Pelodiscus sinensis: one gene and its partners. The protein of the gene in region 1 interacts with the protein of each later gene in a biochemical or structural test. Links are inferred from orthologs where the notes say so. Each region holds a gene or a part of one and is shown in the gene's direction. Other genes may lie near its edges.

The links. The genes of interacting proteins can lie anywhere in the genome.
Region 2: the proteins of CDKN1A (region 1) and CCND3 form a complex in vitro, tested with the Homo sapiens proteins (2 studies listed by BioGRID and IntAct, with this or other methods). The link is inferred for Pelodiscus sinensis from reciprocal best matches to the Homo sapiens genes CDKN1A and CCND3.
Region 3: the proteins of CDKN1A (region 1) and CCNA1 form a complex in vitro, tested with the Homo sapiens proteins (2 studies listed by BioGRID and IntAct, with this or other methods). The link is inferred for Pelodiscus sinensis from reciprocal best matches to the Homo sapiens genes CDKN1A and CCNA1.

What each region holds. Positions count from the first base shown.
Region 1 is NC_134737.1:17,145,660-17,152,941, reverse strand, and holds the start of CDKN1A (cyclin-dependent kinase inhibitor 1), read left to right. Parts: upstream 1-4,271; 5' UTR 4,272-4,477; intron 4,478-6,765; exon of another isoform or gene 6,766-7,282. UniProt on the Homo sapiens protein: Plays an important role in controlling cell cycle progression and DNA damage-induced G2 arrest. Involved in p53/TP53 mediated inhibition of cellular proliferation in response to DNA damage.
Region 2 is NC_134737.1:9,470,692-9,477,658, forward strand, and holds the start of CCND3 (G1/S-specific cyclin-D3), read left to right. Parts: upstream 1-3,957; 5' UTR 3,958-4,178; coding exon 4,179-4,376; intron 4,377-6,492; coding exon 6,493-6,708; intron 6,709-6,967. UniProt on the Homo sapiens protein: Regulatory component of the cyclin D3-CDK4 (DC) complex that phosphorylates and inhibits members of the retinoblastoma (RB) protein family including RB1 and regulates the cell-cycle during G(1)/S transition.
Region 3 is NC_134711.1:295,437,914-295,445,385, reverse strand, and holds the start of CCNA1 (cyclin-A1), read left to right. Parts: upstream 1-4,462; 5' UTR 4,463-4,541; exon of another isoform or gene 4,542-4,625; intron 4,626-7,472. Other genes in the region: SPART (spartin), read right to left, coding at 1-26, 1,691-2,515. UniProt on the Homo sapiens protein: May be involved in the control of the cell cycle at the G1/S (start) and G2/M (mitosis) transitions. May primarily function in the control of the germline meiotic cell cycle and additionally in the control of mitotic cell cycle in some somatic cells.

The sequences.
Region 1 (7,282 bases):
TAAGGTGCTACTAGACTATTTGTTGTTTTTTAAGTTTTTCCTGTTACAGACTAACTCGGCTCCCCCTCTGAAGTTTTCCAATATTTCTAATGGTAATCAGAAAAGACACACTGTGCTCTCTAATGGTGAAGACTTTACTGTTGTTCTTACTCTTGGTTGCTGCTGTCCTCAATCTAAAGTGAAGTCCCTTGTTCTGGCTTACACAACTCTCTGAATTTTGTGGCTGGCGAAACACAAGGTACATTTGCCTTTGCTTTCAAAATGAATTAAAACACATGAATTCAAAAATTAGAGTTGGGCAGATTGATAAGAGCGTGTGAGGTAGATGGGTTTGTTCATGGATACGTTAGTCACTGCTACATCAAAGCTCACATCAATCTAAAATCCTGTGTTTAACTATCCCCCTGAACTTCGGGAAGTTCACTCCTGATCCCAGCTTCCCAGGGCCTATCTCTGTGCCCTAGGATTATATCTGTTAGCTGATTTCATACTCCTGGGATGTGTCTGCATCCTGTGTTATAAGGGGACTTGCAGAGAAAAGCTCTGCCTTGGTCATGAGACAGTCTCCAACAGAACATGCCCAGACATATTATCTGAGAGAGCAGGCCAGCCTGAAATGTGCCACTCTGCATTGTGGAAGGGGTTAAATCCAAAACAGCAACAATCGGAGGTGCTGAACGTTCAGCAAGCACCCTGGAAACAGAAGATTAGATGCTTTATTTAGCACGTATATTTCTGATCCAAAAGAGCCTCCCAAATAGATGTGAAACACACCCAGCCTCAGCTGGAGCTGTACCATGGCAAGCCACCAATGCAGACAGGGCTTGGGTGTAAAACTTCGTTGCCCTAGAGCAGGGGTGTCCAAACTTTTTTCAACGAGGGCCAGATTTGATGAAGTGAACATGCGTGAGGGCCGACCATTTTGCCTGACATTCTTTGAACCATTAAAATTAAACGCAAATTAACTATTTTATGCAAAGTTTATTGCACACGGCATACTTTTCATTTCGTCACATGGATGACAAATCTAAACAGGTGTTAAATCACTCTGCCTTTCATATCTGAAGGCCAGATGAAAAAAAAATCCAGGAAGCTGAAATATATGTCAGGAACATTGTAAAGTACATTACATATTATTGGTAATAAAGGTTGTCTGTCAACTTTTAAGTTCAAAAAATATGAACAGGAACATAACACCAAGTATACACATTGTGTCCAAATATATTTATAACTGATTTAGACCAACTGACATTAACTGAGATTTTACAATGTATTCATCTCAATACATATGGATTCGTTGGGGGCCATAAAAGATAGATATTGCCAAATTACCTGGGGATATTGCCAAATTAAACCGGAACACGGGCCGCAATTGGCCCGCGGGCCGGACTTTGGACACGCCTGCCCTAGTGAGTTAGTTAGCCTTGCTTTTATACAGGTTTGCAGTGATGCGGTGACCCCAGTACAGACAAGTCCTGAGATAAGGGGAAGGCAGATCTTACACTTCAGGATATAAACTGGTCACAGAAGAGATCAGGAAGGAATCTTTCTCCCTCCGTCTTTCCTCTCTTATATGCAACAATTATGTAACTGTTTAGGAGCGCAGGCTCTGATCTTCTCAGGGCACTAAAGAGCTTAATTTCCATTCACTGCCATGTGAGTTAGCTGCCTGTATTCCCTTGTGGGCCATGGGGAGGTCGTTGTGTTTTGGTTTTGCTCTGAAGCAGCAGATACGGTAGCTGCTACAGAAGCTCGGGACGGAATGAATTGGGTCTGCTCTGGTATGGAAACCCTATTGAGAGAGTTAGTTTTCGACTGCCTTGAGCCAAACCAAAATCTTGCAGCACGGGAGCCCCTGGGAAGTCAGAGGGCAGTGCTCCCAGCTGTCCTTACCCATACCCAGAATACGCAGCATTGTAGGGCAGTGTTTCTCAACCTTTTTTATTAAAGTACCCCAGGACCCACAGTTTTCAGACACACAATTTTATTCTACCATTGCAACGCATTTGTTTAAACAACTTCATTGTAGCTGGGCAGACAAAATTTTTGGGTGTAAAAAGTACAAAAACAAAGCGCTGTAAAAAAACAAAAATTCAGTGTTCTCCACATTTCAGTTGTGTTGAAGTACCCCCCAGACTTCTCTCAAGTACCCATACCACTTGTTGAGAAACACTGGCATAGGGGACCCAAAAATTTGGGGCACCACTGGATCTTAATGTCCATTCACCCACCTCTTCCTATTCCCTTCTGTGGCTCTGCTTCCTCAGCAGAGGATCTAGTTAACTGACAAGTGACAAAGCCTGCCAGTCCCATTAGCAGAACACTGATCCTGTGCAAGAGCCATTCTGGTGGAAATGAAGCCATGTCCCAGGCATATGCCAACCCCAGGTCTACTGTCAGTTTCTGAATGCACTGAGCACTAATGTACACAGGACCTGGGTTTAAAATTTGCTTTATCATATTTCATTAGTGTGTAGCTGAATATTATAAAAGACTCACCCCGTGGGGCACCGGGGCACCAGTGTAATTACACCGTAGGGCCCCATGAACCCTAAGGAGGGCCCTGGCAATACTAGTAGCTAGGAGCAAATGCCCTGAAGTTCCTACCAGTGAGCTATGAAGCCTAGATCTGAACATTAACAGTTCATCCAGGACCGGGCTAGCCACCCTCTAGCCAGATGTGCCAAGCCGGTAACATTAGGAGAGACCTCACCTGCTCCTCCGCAGCCACTTCGATCCTGGTGACTGGAAGGGTCGGGGCGCAGATACACTGGCTGGTTCCGGGAGCTGGCCGTGGGACCGAGATTCTCAGCTAGTGCAGCGGCTGCACTGGCGCCTCCTGGCAGCTGATCCAAGCTGTGGTACTCAGCGGCCGGGCCGTGGGGTTAGCTCAGCCCCCAGCAGCGCAGGCTGCCACATATCACCAGAGCCCCCAGTCCGGGCTACCGAGCTGGTCGCAGCGCCTGGGACTGGCTGCGGGGGGCGGGGGAAATCAGCTGTGCGAGCAGGTGGGGAGGACGGGGGAGGAGCCCTGTGCCTGCTTATCTGGAGGCTGGCAGGGCGCAGCGCGTAGAGCGCAGCGGCTTGGAGAGGCGCAGGGCGGGGAGACTGCGGCGAGGTGAGAGGGCGGGGGGGATCCTGTCTTTGTCCCCGTTAATCCGGCCAGGTGAGAGGGCGGGGGGGATCCTGTCTTTGTCCCCGTTAATCCGGCGAGGTGAGAGGGCAGGGGGGATCCTGTCTTTGTCCCCGTTAATCCGGCGAGGTGAGAGGGCGGGGGGGATCCTGTCTTTGTCCCCGTTAATCCGGCGAGGTGAGGGGGCGGGGGGGATCCTGTCTTTGTCCCCGTTAATCCGGCGAGGTGAGAGGGCGGGGGGATCCTGTCTTTGTCCCCGTTAATCCGGCGAGGTGAGAGGGCAGGGGGGATCCTGTCTTTGTCCCCGTTAATCCGGCGAGGTGAGAGGGCGGGGGGGATCCTGTCTTTGTCCCCGTTAATCCGGCGAGGTGAGGGGGCGGGGGGATCCTGTCTTTGTCCCCGTTAATCCGGCGAGGTGAGGGGGCGGGGGGATCCTGTCTTTGTCCCCGTTAATCCGGCGAGGTGAGGGGGCGGGGGGATCCTGTCTTTGTCCCCGTTAATCCGGCGAGGTGAGAGGGCAGGGGGGATCCTGTCTTTGTCCCCGTTAATCCGTCCCCTTCCCCGCCGCAAGGCTGCTCCGCGCACCATCAGCGACCCTCGCTCTTCCGGGGCGCGCCGTTGAGCGGAGGGGTCTTTCCAGCTCTTTGGCCCCCAGACACCGGAGCGGGGTACCGCTCTCACCCCCTTCCCGACACGTAACGGGGATCCCACCCTGGGGCGCTTGAGGCTAAGCGCGGCCCCTCTCCGAGGGGTCACCCGGCACTTCCCGGGGCGCGGCCGGGGATTTCTCCCAGTCCCTCTGCTCTGGCGCTCTCGGTTTCGCTGGCTGGGGAGCCTGCCGGGACCGGCCCCCCCGCTCGGGGGCTGCGAGAGCGAAGATCCCGGCGCTACCCTGATCCGGCGCCGGGAACCTATTGCAGGGTTTGGGCTGCCGCCGCCCCGAGGGCTGGGACTGGGGCGCCCCCCGCCGGCACGAGCAGGGCCAGCGCTGGCGAGGCAACGCCGCTGGGGTCTGCAGGGAGCGCTGGGGCGCGTCGGGGCTCCGAGCGGGGCGCTGCGGCCGGCAGGGCGGGCGGTGCCCGGGCATGCCCCGCGGGGGGGGGGGGGGGGGGCGTTAGTCACACTTGCTATGAGGTAAGAGCCCGGCCCTGCTGCGAGGGCTCCGGAGTCACTGCCAGGCGCGCCCCGGGCTGGGCTTCCCCGAAGCGCCGGGCACAGCCAACCAGGAGGAGCCGTGATCCCGGTGCCGGTCCGAGCTCATGCGGGGCTGACTGCTGGCACCTCCCCCCCCCGCGGCAGTGGCGGGCCCCCGGCGAGGCACAGCCCCGGGGGCAGTTGCCGCAGGTAGCTCGGGAGAGGCCGCGGTGACAGGGCGGGGGGGCTGGCAGCCAGGGGCGGGACCGGATCCGTGAAGGGTGGGCTGGAAGGTGTAAACGCGCAGTGGCTCCGCGCCTAGGCTGCTCCAGATGATGCAAGCGGGCTCCTCTCGGCAGGGAAAGCGTGTGGCATCGGCATGTCCCGGGAGGGGTCGCTGGGCGCACGGGGTGGCTTCCCCCTGCGTCCGGAGTGACTCCTCTAGCCCCTGCCTCTGGTGTGAACGAGAACGGGCATCCCGGCGCCTCTGTCGGGCTGGAGTGTCCTGGGCGATAAACACCCCCTGGTGGGGGACGTGGGGCACTGAAATGCCTGCGCCGCCCCCGCTCATTGCTTACCCGGCTAGTTCCTAGTGCTCCAACTGCCTGCTAGGCTGCGCTGCCTGACAGTCCAGCCGAGTGACCCCAGCCACTTCCTCCCTCCCTCGCCTAGAAACTGCAATGCCTGGAGTACATGGCCGCAGAAGGCTGAACTTTAAAACCTGTCCCTTGTGACTTCCTTCCCTGACTTGGGTGTATGGAGAGGAAGGGGGCTGCACTGAGCTCCAGCCAGTCTCTGTGGAAGTCCTGCTGTCCCTTTCTCTTGCCATAGTCTCCAGCTGCCTCTTGAACCAGATCATGCTGTGATCCACTCAAGGGACTGGTAAAGATGCCCAGCTTCACCAGGAGCAGGTTCCTGAGCTAGGAACAGGCTCCAGGGGTGGAAGATCCCGAAGTGAAGCTGGAACACAGTGTGTTCCTCAAAGAATCCCAAACAGTACTGGAGCAAAATCGCCCCCTATGCTCCTCGCGCACACCGCTCGGCCTGTGGGGCAAATGAGGCAGCAGGGAGATTTGCCCAGGCAGCAAGCTCTCCGCGCTTGGCGTGTGACTGATTCCATCCCTTTGCAACTGGTATCCAGTCACCTGTGGGAAATGGGCTTAGGGGAGTGATGACTCATGTTAGAGCAGTCAGGGTGCGCAGAGCCAGTGACAAGCTGTTTCACTTGCCAACCCAGCTAGGTAAGCACCACCCTGGTGATCACAAACCTTACACTGTATCTGCTACTTGTTCAAGTCTGCAGGACTCTTACATGGGTTCCCAAATTCAGGGGTGTGCCCTGCTGGTGGGGGTGTGAGAAAATCCCAGGGTGGGGCAAGAGGTGACCCAACCACCACCACCCGCAATCCCACCCCAAGTTTTGCTGCTATTTTGGGGGGAGTGGGGCATGAGGGTTTCTCAAAAAATCAAAAAGTTTGGGAACCACTAGCAGAATTGGGAACCACTAGCAGAATGTAACAGGACTTGCAAGAAAACTTCAGTGTATGAAAGGAAAGGAAAATGACTTTGATGCTTCTTAAAGTCCTCAACCACAACCCCCCACTCCACCCCACCCCACCCCACCCCACCCCGGTGTCATCTGACTAAGCGTAATGCTTCAGCCTACACTCCCGACTAATGTGAGGTGGTGCAGTTTGGGGCCTTGCTATGCCTGCAAGGGGCTGAGCTACTTAATGCTACAAGGATAGCTCAGTGGTTTGAGCATTGGCCTGCTAAACCCAGGGTTGTGAGCTCAATCCTTGCAGAGGCCATTTAGGGATTTGGGGCAAAAATTCATCAGGGATGGTACTTGGTTCTGCTGAGAAGGCAGGGGATTGGACTCAATGACCTTTCAAGGTCCCTTCCAGTTCTAGGAGATAAGCAATCTCCATTATTAAATTATATTAAGCTACTTCAGTCTAGGTAGGTATGATGGGAGGGGTCCTCCCAAAGAGGCTGTAGTCCAGCTGGTGGAAGAATTCTCCCATTGACCCAGCATTGTCTAGATCAGTGGTCTCCAACGCAGTACCTGCAGGAGCCATGGTGCCTGCTGGGGCATTTATGTGCACCTGCCGAAATATCTGTGCTGGCCCGGCGCGTGGCACCTGCGCAGTGCCGGCACAGGATGCGTGGGCAGCCCCACCCCCAGGAGCGCGGCACATGCGTGGCCCCACCCCCAGATGCCTGGCACGTGAGCGGCCCCGCCCCTGGGCAACCGGCAGCCACGAAAGGTTGGGGACCACTGGTCTATATGGTGACTAAGGTCTGCTTTACAGCACTGCCCAGGGGTGTGGATTTTTCAGGTCCCTGACTGATGCAGTTATATGAACCCCGGTTCCTAGAATAGAGCAGGCCTTAGACACTGATTTAAGTCTAAGTCAGTGGGAGACATTAAGAGCACTCAGTATCTCTCAGGAGAGGGCCTTCTGCATTCTAATGGGTGTGAGTGTTTGCTTTTAGATGCATGAACAAGTTGAAACTTGTTACCTGCCAGGGCTTGTTTGGACATGCTGGAACTTGACTGCTGGCAGTGATGTCATTCCACTGAATTGTTTACAAGGGTGTGAACTGTCAGGCGACACGAGGGCTGATTTCTATTTTTATCTCTTGGCCTCTTCCTCTCTGGGTGAAAAGGCAGAAACAAAGTGGGATCAATAGAATATTATAGACAGTGAGACTATTAAGTTAAGGTTCAAGATATATAGAAGCCAAATGCCACTGTAGTGCGAAAATCTCTTCCAGATGAATAGCACAAGGCTACATTGTCAGACTGTGTGAGGGCAGAGCTGAACAAACTATTCGCTGCTTATTACAGAGGTGAGAGTTAACTCTGTTACTGGAATACAATGAATTCTGTGTGGAATGAAACCCGGTTCAACCCAAACCATTTTGGGGGTTTTACTTTATAACCATAAAGTAACCCTCAAACTCTTTAGCTCATGAAAATCTCTTTTCAAGCTAAGCATGTAAAATTCC
Region 2 (6,967 bases), about 7.7 Mb from region 1:
AAACATGTGTGAGCCCATTATGTCTGGTATATGTCCTGAAGCTTTCAATTTCAAATGACATTGTCCAGAAAATGTAGGGACCAAGAACCCAGCACTGTGGTTTCCCTTTGCTTGGCTAAAGAAAATAACATATTTTTACTGAAAATGTGGGATTTAAGCCCTCTTCACTTTGTATACAAAAGACGCTTCCAACAATAAATGAATAGGGGGCAGGAGGGTCACCCTGGTTTGAATCCATCTGACTGGTCTAAAGAAATTGCTTTCATGGATTCTTCAAATATTTCATGCCCATGGAAAGTGCAGTGGAGGTGGATTTTTGGAATGTTATCTCACCTACTTGTATGCAGTGTGTGGCTTGAAAGCTTTTCTCTCTCCCCACCTGGTCCAATAAAAGATATTCCACAGTCAACCTGTGGAACTCCTTGCCAGAAGATGTTGTGAAGACCAGAACTTTAACAGGGCTCAAAAAAGAACTAGATAAATTCATGGAGGTTAGGTCCATCATTACTTATTAGTCAGGATGGGTAGGAATGGTAGCCCTAGCCTCTGTTTGTCAGGGGCTGGAAATGGATGACAGGAGAGGGATCACTTGATGATTCCCTATTCTGTGCGCTCCCTCTGGGGCATCTGGCATTGGCCACTGTCAGAAGACAGGATAGTGGGCTAGAGGGATCTTTGGTCTGATCCAGTATGGCCGTTCTTATGGTATTAAGTAACCCACCTTGTTTCTCTAATATCACCTACTGAAATTCCCCTTTTTCGTTTTAGGACTGGGATGGAATCAATATAATTCCACATACACTCACTGCTTTACTCCTTTGCTACATGGCAATAAGATTTTGTTTGTGTGTTGTGTAACACGTCATGTAATCAGGAACAAGATACTATTGTAGTTATGATGTTGGGATCATTAGAAATGGCACAGATAGATAGTGCTTGGTCCCATGTTCCTTGAAGTAAATGGAATTTTCAGTGCTAGTGTGCCTCATATCAGATCTGGTATGTACACGACCTTCATGTTTCTGGAGATGCAAAATGAAGCCTCTGATCAAAAAAGAATTTTTTATTTATCTTTTTCCTTTTCAGGGTCAATGTTCCTGAACAGGACAGATAAAGACTTTTGTCTTGTTTTGCTTATGCTCAAAAATAAACACATTTTTAAAACATGTTTTTTCTTACAGTCCCTATTTTTTGCAATGATTAAACATAGATTTTTATAAGGTCAAGAAAAAGTATAGGATGCCTCAAAGTGGTAGTGAATTCATCTGGGGGGAGAGAGAATAAACTCAAAGATCTGGTTGATCATTCAATCTCTAACTTCTTTGATCCTACATTCTTTTAAGATGATTAAGATGGAATGCTATACAACCAGCTGTCTAGGCGAATGCTCCTACAATGCCTTATAGTATACTAATCTAGTACCTGCTAATACTGATCACAGATTCCATCTTAGGTACATGACACTTCATCCAACATGTCCGTAATATCTATGTATTTAATTTCTCCTGGGCATGGTGACTTACACGCCTTTTTCCCAAGCCTCCCAGCTGACCCTTGGCCACCCCAGTCTGAATCCATGGGTCAGCTACCACTCCTCAGCACACCTAATGTGATTTTAGTACAGTAATACTGTGGGATAAACTCCTGCATGTAGCTCTTTGCAAAGCAGCATGGAAGAAGCATCTTCTCTGGAGACTTTTAATCCCAGAGTGGATAAAGCACTAAAATATAGAATAAGGAGCAAATGAATGGAGTAGATGATCTTGAAAGTATTTTCCACCACTAACCTCTATGATTATATGATTAATCACCCAGCTTCCAACTATTCCTACAGTTGCCATATTACAGCATTGTGGGAGTTACCAAATTCGTATGAGCTGGCCATTTCATTCTAACTCTCTCTTTTCATATTCAGAATTTTCTCAGAGTTTGACCTTTTGGGCTGAAATTTCTCATGCTCACTCTCAATCTCAACAACGATTTTAATTTGTTTTTATTCAAAAACTTGAAGAAATTCCATTCAGCTCTTTTTCTAATTCTGTAGTTGTGAAGGGAAAATATGTTTTACGTTTAAATGATGCAGTCTGACCTTCTTTTGAGCTTGGATAACTCAAAAGCAGCTTTAAGTCTTTGCACTTGACAGGCAAATAACCTGGAAAGCAGGCTCTAATCGGTGCTAAATTTGAAAAAAAATGGTTTTAAAAGAAGTTATGAACTTGTGAAAACCATGTGCTGAGCATACGCAGTGCTTTGAGTATGCAGAGGCATGTAGTAAAAGCTGTGAAAAAATAAATCTCTCATTGCTAACACTGGTACAGCTCCAACAGTGTTAGCAACATGAGGAATGTTGCTCCTCTTGTACACAAGCCAGGTGTTTATTAGTAGTAGTATTTGTATTGCAAGAGCGTCTAGAGATCCCAACAGAGAACAAGAGATAGTCCTGCCCTAAGGAGGCTCTAGTCTAAATAGGCAAGAGCTCAGGGTAGTTTTCAAAAGTTAAGAATGTATTCTTTCAAAACCATTATTACATGCTGTTAACACCAGTGGCTGCCGAAGCCTCATCTACACACGTTTCCAATGTTGCTGTCTCCAGGGCAGCTGCATTAGTATTAGCATTAATACTCGGATAGGTTTTGGAGGAAAAAGCCCAGTGCAGACATACTTTCAACAGACTCACATCTATCTGATTATTCTCATAGCTTCTAAGGGCTAGACAAAAAAAAAGACAAAGAAAAAAGTGGCAGAATTAACTATCAAAGAGACTGAAATAATAGATTAACAGAGCAGGCAACGGATCTGAGTTCCAGATTGTCCTGTTTTGAACATGAACCCCACGAGGAATAGTCATAGTGTGCTCACGAATCTTGGTTTTGATGCCGTAACTTGGTAACATTGGTGGTTGTACTCAAGATAGATGGATAATGTAGTAAAATGCAATGAATGCTAATGAAAAATAACAAAAACAAACCCCCTCCCCTCAAGTTATTTGCTCATCTGGGTTTCTGCAGTCCAGTCTCTTGCCTTTCTTTTGGGTTTTTGGACTGTACACTCTTCGACTCAGGGCAATGTGCAGTCATGCCTCGCGTACAGCCCGGCATGTTCTCTGAGGTAGTGTGACACGGATGGATTCCATGTGATGTGCTGTCACCTTGCACCACTGCCGCATGGCGATGTTTCCAGGTGATTGATGTCTTGAGGCAGGAAGACCAGCTATCCCCATGGCTTTGTCTTATTTAGGTGCCTAGTACCTCCCCTTCCCCCATACACCCAACCTGATTTTTCACACTTGCTGTCTGGTCACTCTGTCAGTGTTTCTCAACCTTTTTTTTATAAAGTACCCTCTATTTAAAAAAAATTATAAGTATCCCCAGTACCTACAGTTTTCAGACACAACAGTTTTTTCCCCAACATTTCTTTAAACAACGTAGCTGGGCAGGCAATGAAATTTATGGGTGTAAAAAGTACCAAAATAAAGTGCCGTAAAACTTAAAACAAAAATTCAGTTTTCTCCAAATTTCAGTTGTGTTGACGTACCCCCCCAGACTTCTCTCAGGTACCCCTCAGGGTACTGGTACCACTGGTTGAGAAACACTGCTCCAAGTCTTCCCCGGGCAGCAATGGGAGAGCTTGCATCCACTGGGTGGAATGAAAAATGAGCGTCCCTTACCACCGGCTGTGCAGTAGCAGCAGTGGCAAGAAGCCATGGAACCGGAGGGGATTTCGGGGGGCATGGGGAGGGGGCCATTGCTTGCGAAAAAGAAAACCGTGGGGGGGCGGATTTCACTTGCTTTGCAATCTGGAGCGGAGGGGCGGGCGACCGGCGCCCTGCTCCGAGGCGGCAGCCGCTTAGCCCACCATGGGACCCAGGGGGCTTGCACTGCAGCTCCTCTCCCTCCCCCCTCCCTCCCGCGAGCAGGGCCCCGCCCGTAGCCCCGCCCATTAACTTCCCGACGTTCTAAAAACTGTAACAGTGGATCCGGCGCTGTCAGTGCGGCGGGGAGCGTGGGGCAGAGCGGCCGGGAGGCAGCTGGCTGGGGTCGCTGTTGCTTGATCGCCCAGCCCCGCTCCCCGGCTGGGGGTGTCCCTCTCCCTGTCGCCAGCTCCCCTGCGCGCCCCCCCTTCCGTCCCTGCTCCGGCTGTCCCCGTTCTCGTGCCCTGACCCCCCAGGATCCAGACACATGGAGCTGCTGTGCGTGGAGGGGGCCCCCCGCGTGCCCAGGGCGGAGCGCGATCCCCAGCTGCTGGGGGACCGGCGGGTGCTGCAGAACCTGCTGAGCCAGGAGGAGCGCTATAGTCCCCGGGTCTCCTACTTCCATTGCGTGCAGAAGGAGATCAAGCCGTACATGCGGAAGATGCTGGCTTTTTGGATGCTGGAGGTACGGGACCCCCTCCCTCAATCCGGGTCCTGCCACCCCCTCCCTCCCGATCCATCCTGGAGTCCAACAGCAGCTCCTTTGCCTACCCTCCTTGGTCCCCACCGCAGATACAGGCTGCCCGGCTCGGGCAGGAGAGGGGCTATGCTTGCTGGGTGTGGGAGAGAGAGACCCACCCCAGTCTTGAGTGTAAACGGAGCAAAGGATTTAGTGGGGTCGCCTAGCGGTGGCGGCGGTAATGGAAGGAGGACAGTTGGGTTGGGAGAAGTGTTTTTTGGGTTTTTTAAGGTAGGGAAGTCACTTGGTTTGGGGAATCTGTATCAGTTGGGGGGGAGCTAATGGGGGGGCGGTTTGCAATGTCACTTGCTGCCGCGTGAGTTCCAAAGGAAACAATCTGATGGAGCGGGGGAGAGGCTGCTGGTTTGTGGGGCTCGGTCTGTGGTGGGAGGAGTCAATCTTTTGGGGGGGAGGAGGCAGAGGAAATAGTGGGATACGGGGGCATTTGAAAGACCCCCCCCAGGTGAAAGACCCCGGGTGCTTGGGTGGGGGCATGATTTCCACCTTTGCATATGCGGAATTGCAGCATTTCCTGCTGCACCGAGGGGGTAACACAACCTGCTCTCCTCCACACCCTGTTTTGCCTGTAGGGGTCCCTCCGGTTTTACCCCAGCCCGGAAACTGTCCGCTTCAAGGTCTCTGCCTTTCATCGGACAGTTGGGGGGGGGGGGGGGGAGTCCAATGCGGTGTGAGAGAAAGCCTGGGCAGAAAGATCCCAGCCTCCCACGCCGCTAAATTAAAAGGAATGCAATCCTGCGCACTGAACAACTCAAGGAGGAACATATCCCAGATGTCTCTCGCTTTTCATAAATGATCAAGCCCTGAATAGCCTAGATTGGGAGGAAAATGAGATTACACGAGGAAGAAATAGAATCTGGATTGAATTCAGTCTGAGGCTCTTTCCACTTCACTGGCTGTTGTGACATACTGCCTGGGTTTTTTTTTAATCACATGCCGATTCCAACTTTTTTAATTATCCTTTTTCTTAAGTGCACTTTCTGAGAGAGTTACTTGGCTAAAAGGTGTGTTGAGGCCTGATCCTGCAAAGCAGGGACCTCAGTAAAGTGGAAGGAGCCCATAGTAAAGTTGGAGGCGGTATCTTTGGGATTTCCCAATTTAATAGGATTTGCATTAGTAAGCCTAAACGTAGGTCCTATTGAAGTCAGTGGTACAACTTGCATTGACTTCAGAGGCAGCAGGATTTAGTTCTAAATGCTAATTTTTCATTTTTTATTTTGAATGAGGGTGAGAGGGAATGCAGCTAAACTTAAATCTGAAATGAGAAGTGAGTCTATTTTTTTTAAAAGGAAAAAGTCTCTGGCATGCGGTTTTATGTGGGTAGAGAGGACATTGGGAGGCAAAGTTACAGGGTGAAAGAGAAGGATGCCAGTTGCTATAGCACAAGGGGAAAATTCAATATTTTTCTGTTAAAACAAGGAAATATGGCTGTTCATTAAAAGCCTAGTGGCATGTATAGAAGGGGTTGACCTGCAGACTCCTGGGTTCTGTTTGTGCCTCTCATGAATGTGCCATAGACAGAGAAGGGGAGCCAGGAGTTTGAATGCAGTTGCTATCCTGGGCTCTGCCAGTGACTCTTTTTGTGATATTGGGCAAGTCACTTAGCCCAGAGTTTCCAAAAGTGGCAACTGATTCTTGGTGCCTCCTTTTTTGGGCCAGCTGAAGCTACATTGGGACTGGGTTGTTTTTTTTCAGAGGTGCTGAGCACCCCCATTTAAGGAGAGCAGAAAGTGATTGGCACATCTGGTAATTAAGACCTAAATCAGTGGGCCCTCTAGAAGATTTTGGTCTCTAACCTCTCTATTTTCCCTACTTCCCAGAGGAAAGGGAGGTGAACTGTAGCACATTGCATCAAATTCCCTGCGGGTGGTGGGCTGGAGTTACACCAATGGAGAATTTGTCTCTTAAACCTAAAAGGGCTTTGAGAGCACCAGACAAAAGGCTCCACACGTGCCAGAAACTATGGCAACTAGTAGTTTTGAAGTCCCGGTGCAGGCTGGGGCTGCCTTTAAAACCCTTCCTTTCCTCTGTTGGGTTCTGCCAGGTGTGTGAGGAGCAGAAGTGTGAAGAGGAGGTCTTCCCCTTGGCTATGAACTACGTGGATCGCTACCTGTCTTCAGTTCATACTCGAAAAAATCACTTGCAGCTCCTGGGGGCCGTCTGCATGCTCCTGGCTTCCAAGTTGCGAGAGACCATGCCCCTGACTGTGGAGAAACTCTGCATTTACACAGACAATTCCATCACACCAAAGCAGATCTTGGTAACCTCCCCACTCTGCCTGATACAGTCTCTCACCCACTCCCCAGCTCTCTTATCCTCTCTGTGCTGCTGCTTGGGGGCATAACTGCTTCTGACTTCCTTCCTCTGTTCTCCCAAGCACCTTCCCCCCCATGTTCCCCAAATAGCTTCCTTGCCCAACTGGACAAACTACCTTTTGGAAAGGTAGAACTGTCCGCCACACTTAGAGCCACCCTCTTGGCCAAGGTCCCAGGCAGCCCAGCTGTTATTCCCCATTGATT
Region 3 (7,472 bases), on another chromosome or scaffold:
ATAAGAGGATACAGCCAGTCACAAACCTGAGAATGACAAGTACCTTTAATTGTATAAATAAGCCAAAAGAAATGTCTGTTGAAGGATCTGTACAGATTAGCATCAGACTCCAAGGCTCCCATGTAGTTTTATTACAAAATCCTCAAAGTGATCCTGAAAAGTTTATTGGGATACATCATTCTCGATAGGTTACCAACAAAGTTAAATAAGTAACAAATACAGTTCATTTTCACAGGGCTCTTGTATAGCACAGCAACCTTTTACTGAGACCCAGGAATCCCAGCTTCAGAAGAAGGAGCCTACCATAATGCCAAGCGGGTGCTGGATTTACAGTCCCTCTGCCATTCTGCTCCATTCAGCGCAGGCTTACACGACACAGTGTAAAGAATGGGCCTGGCTGCCAAAGGGCTATCTAGAGCTCTTCATTCCTGCTAAGGCGTGCTTCTGCATGGCTGTGCACAAAAAATTCTTCTCCCACCCACCTCCTTCAGAGAGCTGCACAGACACACTTGGGTGGCAGGCAGCTGCTCCAGTGGGTGGGGTCAGTTGAGACAGTGTGGTAAGGAGCTGCTGGAGCAGGGGGCTGGGACCTATTTCAGTCACGTGGCAGGGGGGAAGGGGCAGGCCTGCTCCGGTGGCTGGGGCTGCCACATTGCTGGGTGGCCAGCGCCTGTTCTGGTGGCTGGGACCAGGAACAGCACCTGCCACATGGCCGTGGGGGGGAGAGGAGGTCTGCTCTGGTGGCGAGGAATGTGTGTGTTCATAAATTGGGTGCCAGGGTGGCACACATCCAAACCAGCACACATGACCTCAACATTGGTGCACAAGCCAAAACTCACTCCTCTCATGGTTGGAAAATCTGAGGGAGAACACTGGCTGCTAGCACTCGTGGACCTGAAACAATGGTGGGAATATTTCCCCCCTGTAAACAAGGCTAAAAAGATCCAAACGAATATCTCAAAGAGAATAAGGTTAGAAACGAGGCTAGAAAAACAGCACTAAAAACATATTAAAAAATAATGCTGCACTGGCAAGGTAGTGGACTAGATAACCTAAAATATCTGTTCTGGGAATGTAAAAATCACATTTAATTGGTTAACCAATTAAGGGGGAAGAGGGTGAGTGCCACTGAGCTGGAGTGGCCCCCAGCCACTTGCAGGGACTGTGCTGATTAAGGGTAAGGCTTACCAGTTAAATAGTTAAACATTCAGATACCTAATCTGTTCTATCCCTCGTTCACATAACTAGGTTGAAATTCAGAACCATGCAGTTATCCACCTAAACTGTACTAACACGTTCAGCTAGAAAGTTAAGTATGTAAGCCATTTTAAAACTGACCTTTCATACACTAATTCAGTTAATGGCAGTATATAATTCAAAAGGTCAAATTTATCTACAAAAGGAAAAAACAATACTGTAATATCAAAAAAAGTGTTAAAAGCCAACCCATTCCCATTAAAAAAAATCCACTGAAATATCTAGAGTCTTGGAACTCTCAGACGGACACAAAAGCTATTTCTTTATAGACACAAGAGTGTGTTTTAGTGGCATCTATACAATAAATGTACATGCCTCCATTAGCTACTGGTTGTTTCATAGTAACACAATGGTTCATTACAAAACTGTAGCTCATATGCAAAAATTAATACTAGATGCAATGTATTCTAAAATTAAACTTTAGAATTGTTACCTGAAGAAACGCAGGGGGACGATTCTGGGCCATTGCACTATCAGTGTCCAAGAACTTCACAATGCGCAGGTATCCGGGGTATGAAGGAGCACTAACCTGCCCATCAGGAGTCACAAAGAATATCTGTACTCCTTGGGGAATCAGGATCAATTCATCTGCATCTACTCCTAGACTTTCAATGGGAGGAGGCTGATTGCATTTTAAATAGTAGTCCTCTCCAACTGATGAAAATTCCCCTGTGTCCGTACCATAAGATACAGTATAGTGTCCTTCAGTAGCTTGAGGAGTATACACAGGAGGAGCTTCATGTGGTAGAGAGTGAGCTATTGGAGATGAAGGACTCATAGCTGGAAGTTGCCCTTTGCTTGTAGTTGCAACATTTTCATTCACTGCAGGAGGCCCAGATGGTGGAATCAGAGAATTTGGCTCAGGGGGCCTTTCTGGCTTTTCAGTAGTGGGTATCACTGGGTATAACTTGGGCACCTGTTGAGGCATATTCATTGTGATGGTTTGCATAGCAGGGGTATTTTGTTCTAGAATATTCAGTCGAGTTCTAACATTTTGTAAAGTTTCTTGCATCTTTTGCTGCATTTGTCTGGCAGAGTCCCACTGGGATCCTGTACATTCAGGACCTTGTGATGGAATGCTAACTCCTCTAAGCAAGTGGTCAAGTCCTTGCTTGTAGTAGTTCCTTGCTTCTTCCTTTTGACCCAATTCATCTGTATTCAGCCCTTTATTGACTAGCATAAAGGCTTTCTGGAACTCTTCTTTAATAGCTTTAATGTTTGCATCTTCTAGAGTAACAGGATCCTGTTCTTGTTCCATTACTGCAAATTGGAAGATAGTGTTAGCATACTTTCCTGATCCTTATAGGCAGGGCCGGCTCTACGGAGCACAGGGCCCGATTCCGGGGGCGGGGCCGCACACGTGTGGGGCCCTCGGCGGCACGGCGCATGCATTGCGCATCCCAGATGTCACGACACATGAGCAGTGCTCCCAGGGACTCACGCATGCGCAGTTCCCTGGGGGTACAACGCATGCATGGCCCCTCCAGGTGCATGCGCCCGGAATGTCACGACGCATGCGCCTTGCGCCTGGAGGGCCTGCGCAAGCGCTGTGTTCCCGGCTCTCTGCACATGCGCTGTGCTCCCGGCGCAAACATCGCTTCTCTGGGTGCAGGGCCCCATGCTGGGGAATCGGCTGAATCGGCCTAAGGCCGGCCCTGCTTATAGGCCTGTAATAAGAAAGGTGTGCAGTCAATTGTGACACTTCTTGTAAGAAACTTGTTTGGGTTCAAATCAGTATAAAGTCATCATAGTTCAAAGTATCCATACGTGCTGTGCAAAGTCTGACCTTTTTTATTACATATTTCTGGTTAACCTTTGGATTAGAAAATAAGATTCCAGCTCAGCTCACTGAGGACTCTAACCCTGGATTAATCAGATTTTACGTTAAAGAAATCAACACCTCTGACAGAGAGAAGCTATTGAAAGGGCTTATGTTCCAAAATATTTTATGACAAAAGTGTATTTGCACACACCCTCCATTGCAAAAATTTTGATAGTTTCCCATCTTCATTTACATCAACTTAGCACTTAAGCGCATAAAGTTACAAAAACAACAAAGTGAAACTCCAACAGAATGCAACACTATATATTGCAGCTACTGTTCAAAATATTTTGAATGGAATTATAGTTTCATTCAAATTACTCATAGATTGGGTATACAAATACTGTTTTGTTGTATAAAAAGTTTTTACATGTTCAATTCCAATAACATTCTGGACAAAATCAATTTGTTCATTTTGTACTCCATATTAAAATGGGAGTTTTTATACTATAAAAACTGAGGATGTGGTTACATTAATCAACTGTTTAAATTAGTCATCGTGCTACCTTGCAAGGTTCTGTGCACCCTTGTAGCCCGGGGAACGCAAAGATCTGGAGGGTCTTGCTGGATTTCAGTCCCTGCAGTTGCAGTCTAGGTCAAATATTAAGCCCCAGGAGACAGTGCAGATTCCTGATACAACACTTTTTGCATCTTAAAAGTCTTGGCCAGCAGCAACAAGCCACATAAGAGTTTTACATTAAAAATGTGGATTTGTATTTAAAAATCCATCTTAAGTGTTTTATTTTACCAGCCAAATCATTACAACTGAATTGAAAGCGCACAGACGGCGGGGTCCTGGCTTCTCCCCAGCGCAGGGATTCCCACGTGTGGGGCTGGACCCGCCTGCTCCGGGCGAGGGGCAGCCAGGACCCCGACCTCGGCCCCCGCGGCAGCGAGACGCCCGCCGCCCGCTAAGGCACCGACGCGTGGGGGAAGGGAGGAGCTGACGCGGGACTCTCCGCTCCACACGGGGGGACGCTCCAGCCTCCCAGCCAGACCCCGGGGGGGGGGGGGCCTTGTCCCCAGCCAGGCACGAAGCTCCCTTCGCCCCCTTCCCCCGCCCGGACCCGCCACTCACGGAACCGGGGTCGCCGGCGACCTGCACCTCCCAGCAACTGCCCTGAGAATCACGTGACCGCCCGTCAGCTGCTCCCGTCGGTCACGAGGAGGCTTTTGGGCTCTGAGCGGTTCCGACCGCCAGAGGGAGGCCTCTGCACGCGCCGCGCCCCCCCCCCCAGCCCGGAACGAGCGTGGTCGCCATTGGGGGATGAGGGAGGCGTGGTACAGCACGCGACCTCGCGCGTCGTCGTGCATCTGTCGTCATCTGGCATGACATCACAATGCCGCGTGACGTCACTGCAGCACAACGCGTAGGTGCCCTTCTCACCTGTCATCTCAGGGCCGTAAGGACGTGAGGGGACAAGCGGTTGGCGTCACAACAGCAGAGGACACGTTACTGCAGGTTCTGCTGAAAGGCTGGGAGGGCTTGTTGGGTGCACAGGGGGAATCTGCAGAGGAGGACACAGAAGCCTACTCTTGGTTGTGGGTGAGGCGGCTGTTTCACGCTCCCATTTGTGTTTTCTTATTGTCAAACTTCCCATGACATTTTCTGTGCATAATAGGGTGACCAGATGTCCCATTTATACAGGGACAGTCAGCATATTCCAAGCTTTGTAATTTACACCACCACACATGCTAGTCATGTAGTTTATAGAAAGTTGGTAATATGCTTTAAGCAGTTTGTGAGTCCATTAATGGCCCTCACTGTTTTCTGTGTTTCATAAGTCATCAGGAACCCTACCAAAGCAGTAGTGTGTATATGTAGTTTGGCCTTGCATGTTATACAGATAATGAACCAACACAACCATTTGTTGTTTTTTTGAGCAAACACAGTTATTTAGACTCCCTGTGCCCATGTGGTTCTTTCATATTGCTGCTATTGTGAAAAAAGCCAAAGACCCAACATTTCCCCAGATCCATTAACAATATGCCAGCAATCTTCATTGTGACTTAATCAAATGTTATTGTGATTATCACCTAATTAAGCATCTGATTAGTGTTACGTGAGTACCAGCAGTGTATTTCATCAACAGTGCCCCAACCAGTGAAAAAAACCCAACCTGTAAATGGTTGCTGTGTGGAGAAGACCTAACTGTATGAAAAGACTAAACAGCTATTAAAAATAACAAACTTTTGAAGTGGAGGGATAAAAAATCTTTTTCTAGGATAATTTCCTCTTTCTATCAGAGAGCAGCAGTCAAATCTTGTAATCATTCACAGATCTGTCCTGAAGCAAAGTGAGGAAATTGCAAGAACATCCCCCTAACAATTTTTTCCAGTCTTATTCTGATTGAACTTAGAATGAACTGGCAGTTTGCTAAATGTGCAAAAAATATTAAGTTTATTTACTCTGAAGTGATAGACTCCGACTACAAATGAGAGTAAGGTCAGTGTACTTTTTAAAAAGTTGGACAGAGCATGACTTTTGGAAACTGACAGCTGGCTGCTACATGGACATCTTTTTTATCATATTGCACTCCTGCAACTTGCATTTAAATGTATATTTTCTAACCCTGAGAAGATGAGGTTGTTCCTTTTCTAGGATCTACCTATGAATACTGGTTGTGAATTGCTTATGGCTGGTTGTCAGACCTGATTCTCCACTGCTTTGCACTTTGAGTAATCATTCACCCATGAACAAAGTGAATATTGAATACTGGACAAGTGTAAATGACTATACAAGGGCAAGATAGGAGAGAACTGGGCCCATTTTCTCTGACCTCAATTTCTCTCACTTTCAACATTCCTGTTGTCGGTAATTCAGAGCAGTGAAAGTGAAATACTTCGAGACCAGCCCAAAACTGAGTGACATGTGCGAGACACATTGCAAGTGTGGACAAAGTAATTGCAGTGCTTAATTTGTAATGAAAGAAGTGCCAGGGCTTAAGCAAGTTAGTGCTGGGGCTCAAGCAGTTGTTTTAGGGTACGTCTAGACTACCGCGTTTTGTTGACGGACGTTTTGTTGACAGATACTGTCGACAAAACTTCCGTCGACAAAGAGCGTCCAGACACATTGAGTTCTGTCGACAAAGCAAGCTGCTTTGTCGACAGAACTCCGTAGTCTGGACGCAGTGTTACAGGCAATAACACCTTCTGTCGACAGAGTTCTGTCGACAGAAGGTGTTATGCCTTGTAAAATGAGGTATACCAGCGTCGACAAAACTGCTGAGTTCTGTCGACATCATGTCGACAGAACTCAGCGGTAGTGTAGACGCTGGTATAGTTTTGTCGACAAAAACTAGGTAGTCTAGACACACCCTTACTTTCATAACTAGAGCCCTGCAAATCTGTGGATATCAGCTTTATATGCACATATGTGGATGTGGATCTCCAGAGATAATTTCTGCAGATGCGGATACAAATTTTGTGTCGCACAAGGCTCTATTCATAACTGATGCAGCGACTCTGAAGTGCTGGGGCTGTGAACTACCAAGCCGAGGGGTGCTCAGCCCTTGTGAATCCTGGCACAAATGAAGCACTGAGTAACTGGAGCTATTCAGTATGTTGTAGGAGTCTCACTGTCATGGAGAACAATGCCTTAGAAATAACAGATGCAGGCGGCTCATCAGCTAGATCAGACTGGCTGGAAATTCAACTTGATAACTCAGTTGCATGTAACAGAAGTCATTAGCCCTCCCAACAACAATGTCCAGAACTAGAGCTGGAGAACTGCTTCAGTATAAAAAGAAATACAATCAGGAATATCAAAATGGTACACTGGGACATTTTTAAGTCCAATGTTTTGCTTGTTCCAGCTAGATTCACAACAGGATTTAAATGGCATTCACAAAACCAAGAAGGTTGTGCCTTCCCCTACACAATCCAATAGTACAGTGGGTAGGTGCTTACCTGGGATGTGGGAAAGTCAAGGGGGAATCTCCAGTCTAATGCAGAGACTTGCAAGAAGGTTTCCCCTCTTCCCTAGAGTGTCAGCTATTGGCTATCTTGGAATAGGTCTCTCTCCATTTTGAAGCTGTTCTAGTTTGTATAATTAACTGAAGCAAGAACTGGAAACTGGGCATGCCCTAATTACCAAAGTAAATAGTAATTCTAACTCTCCCTTTGGCCCACTGACTCCTCACTTTTGTGACTGGCATCTAAGTCCCCTTGTGAATCTAACCCTTTGTTTCCAGATTTACTGCTTTTATATAAAAAAAGGGTAAAAACGTGAAATTGAAATGAAATATTTTGTTCTGTCAAAGGAAATGTATCCATGAACCGGACATGGATTTTTTTCAGAATTTTCAATTCCCCAAAAATTCAGATTTTTAAAAATATTTTTGGCACTGCTAATCAGGGTTCCCTCTAAGCTGCATTTCTGCACGGCTGCATG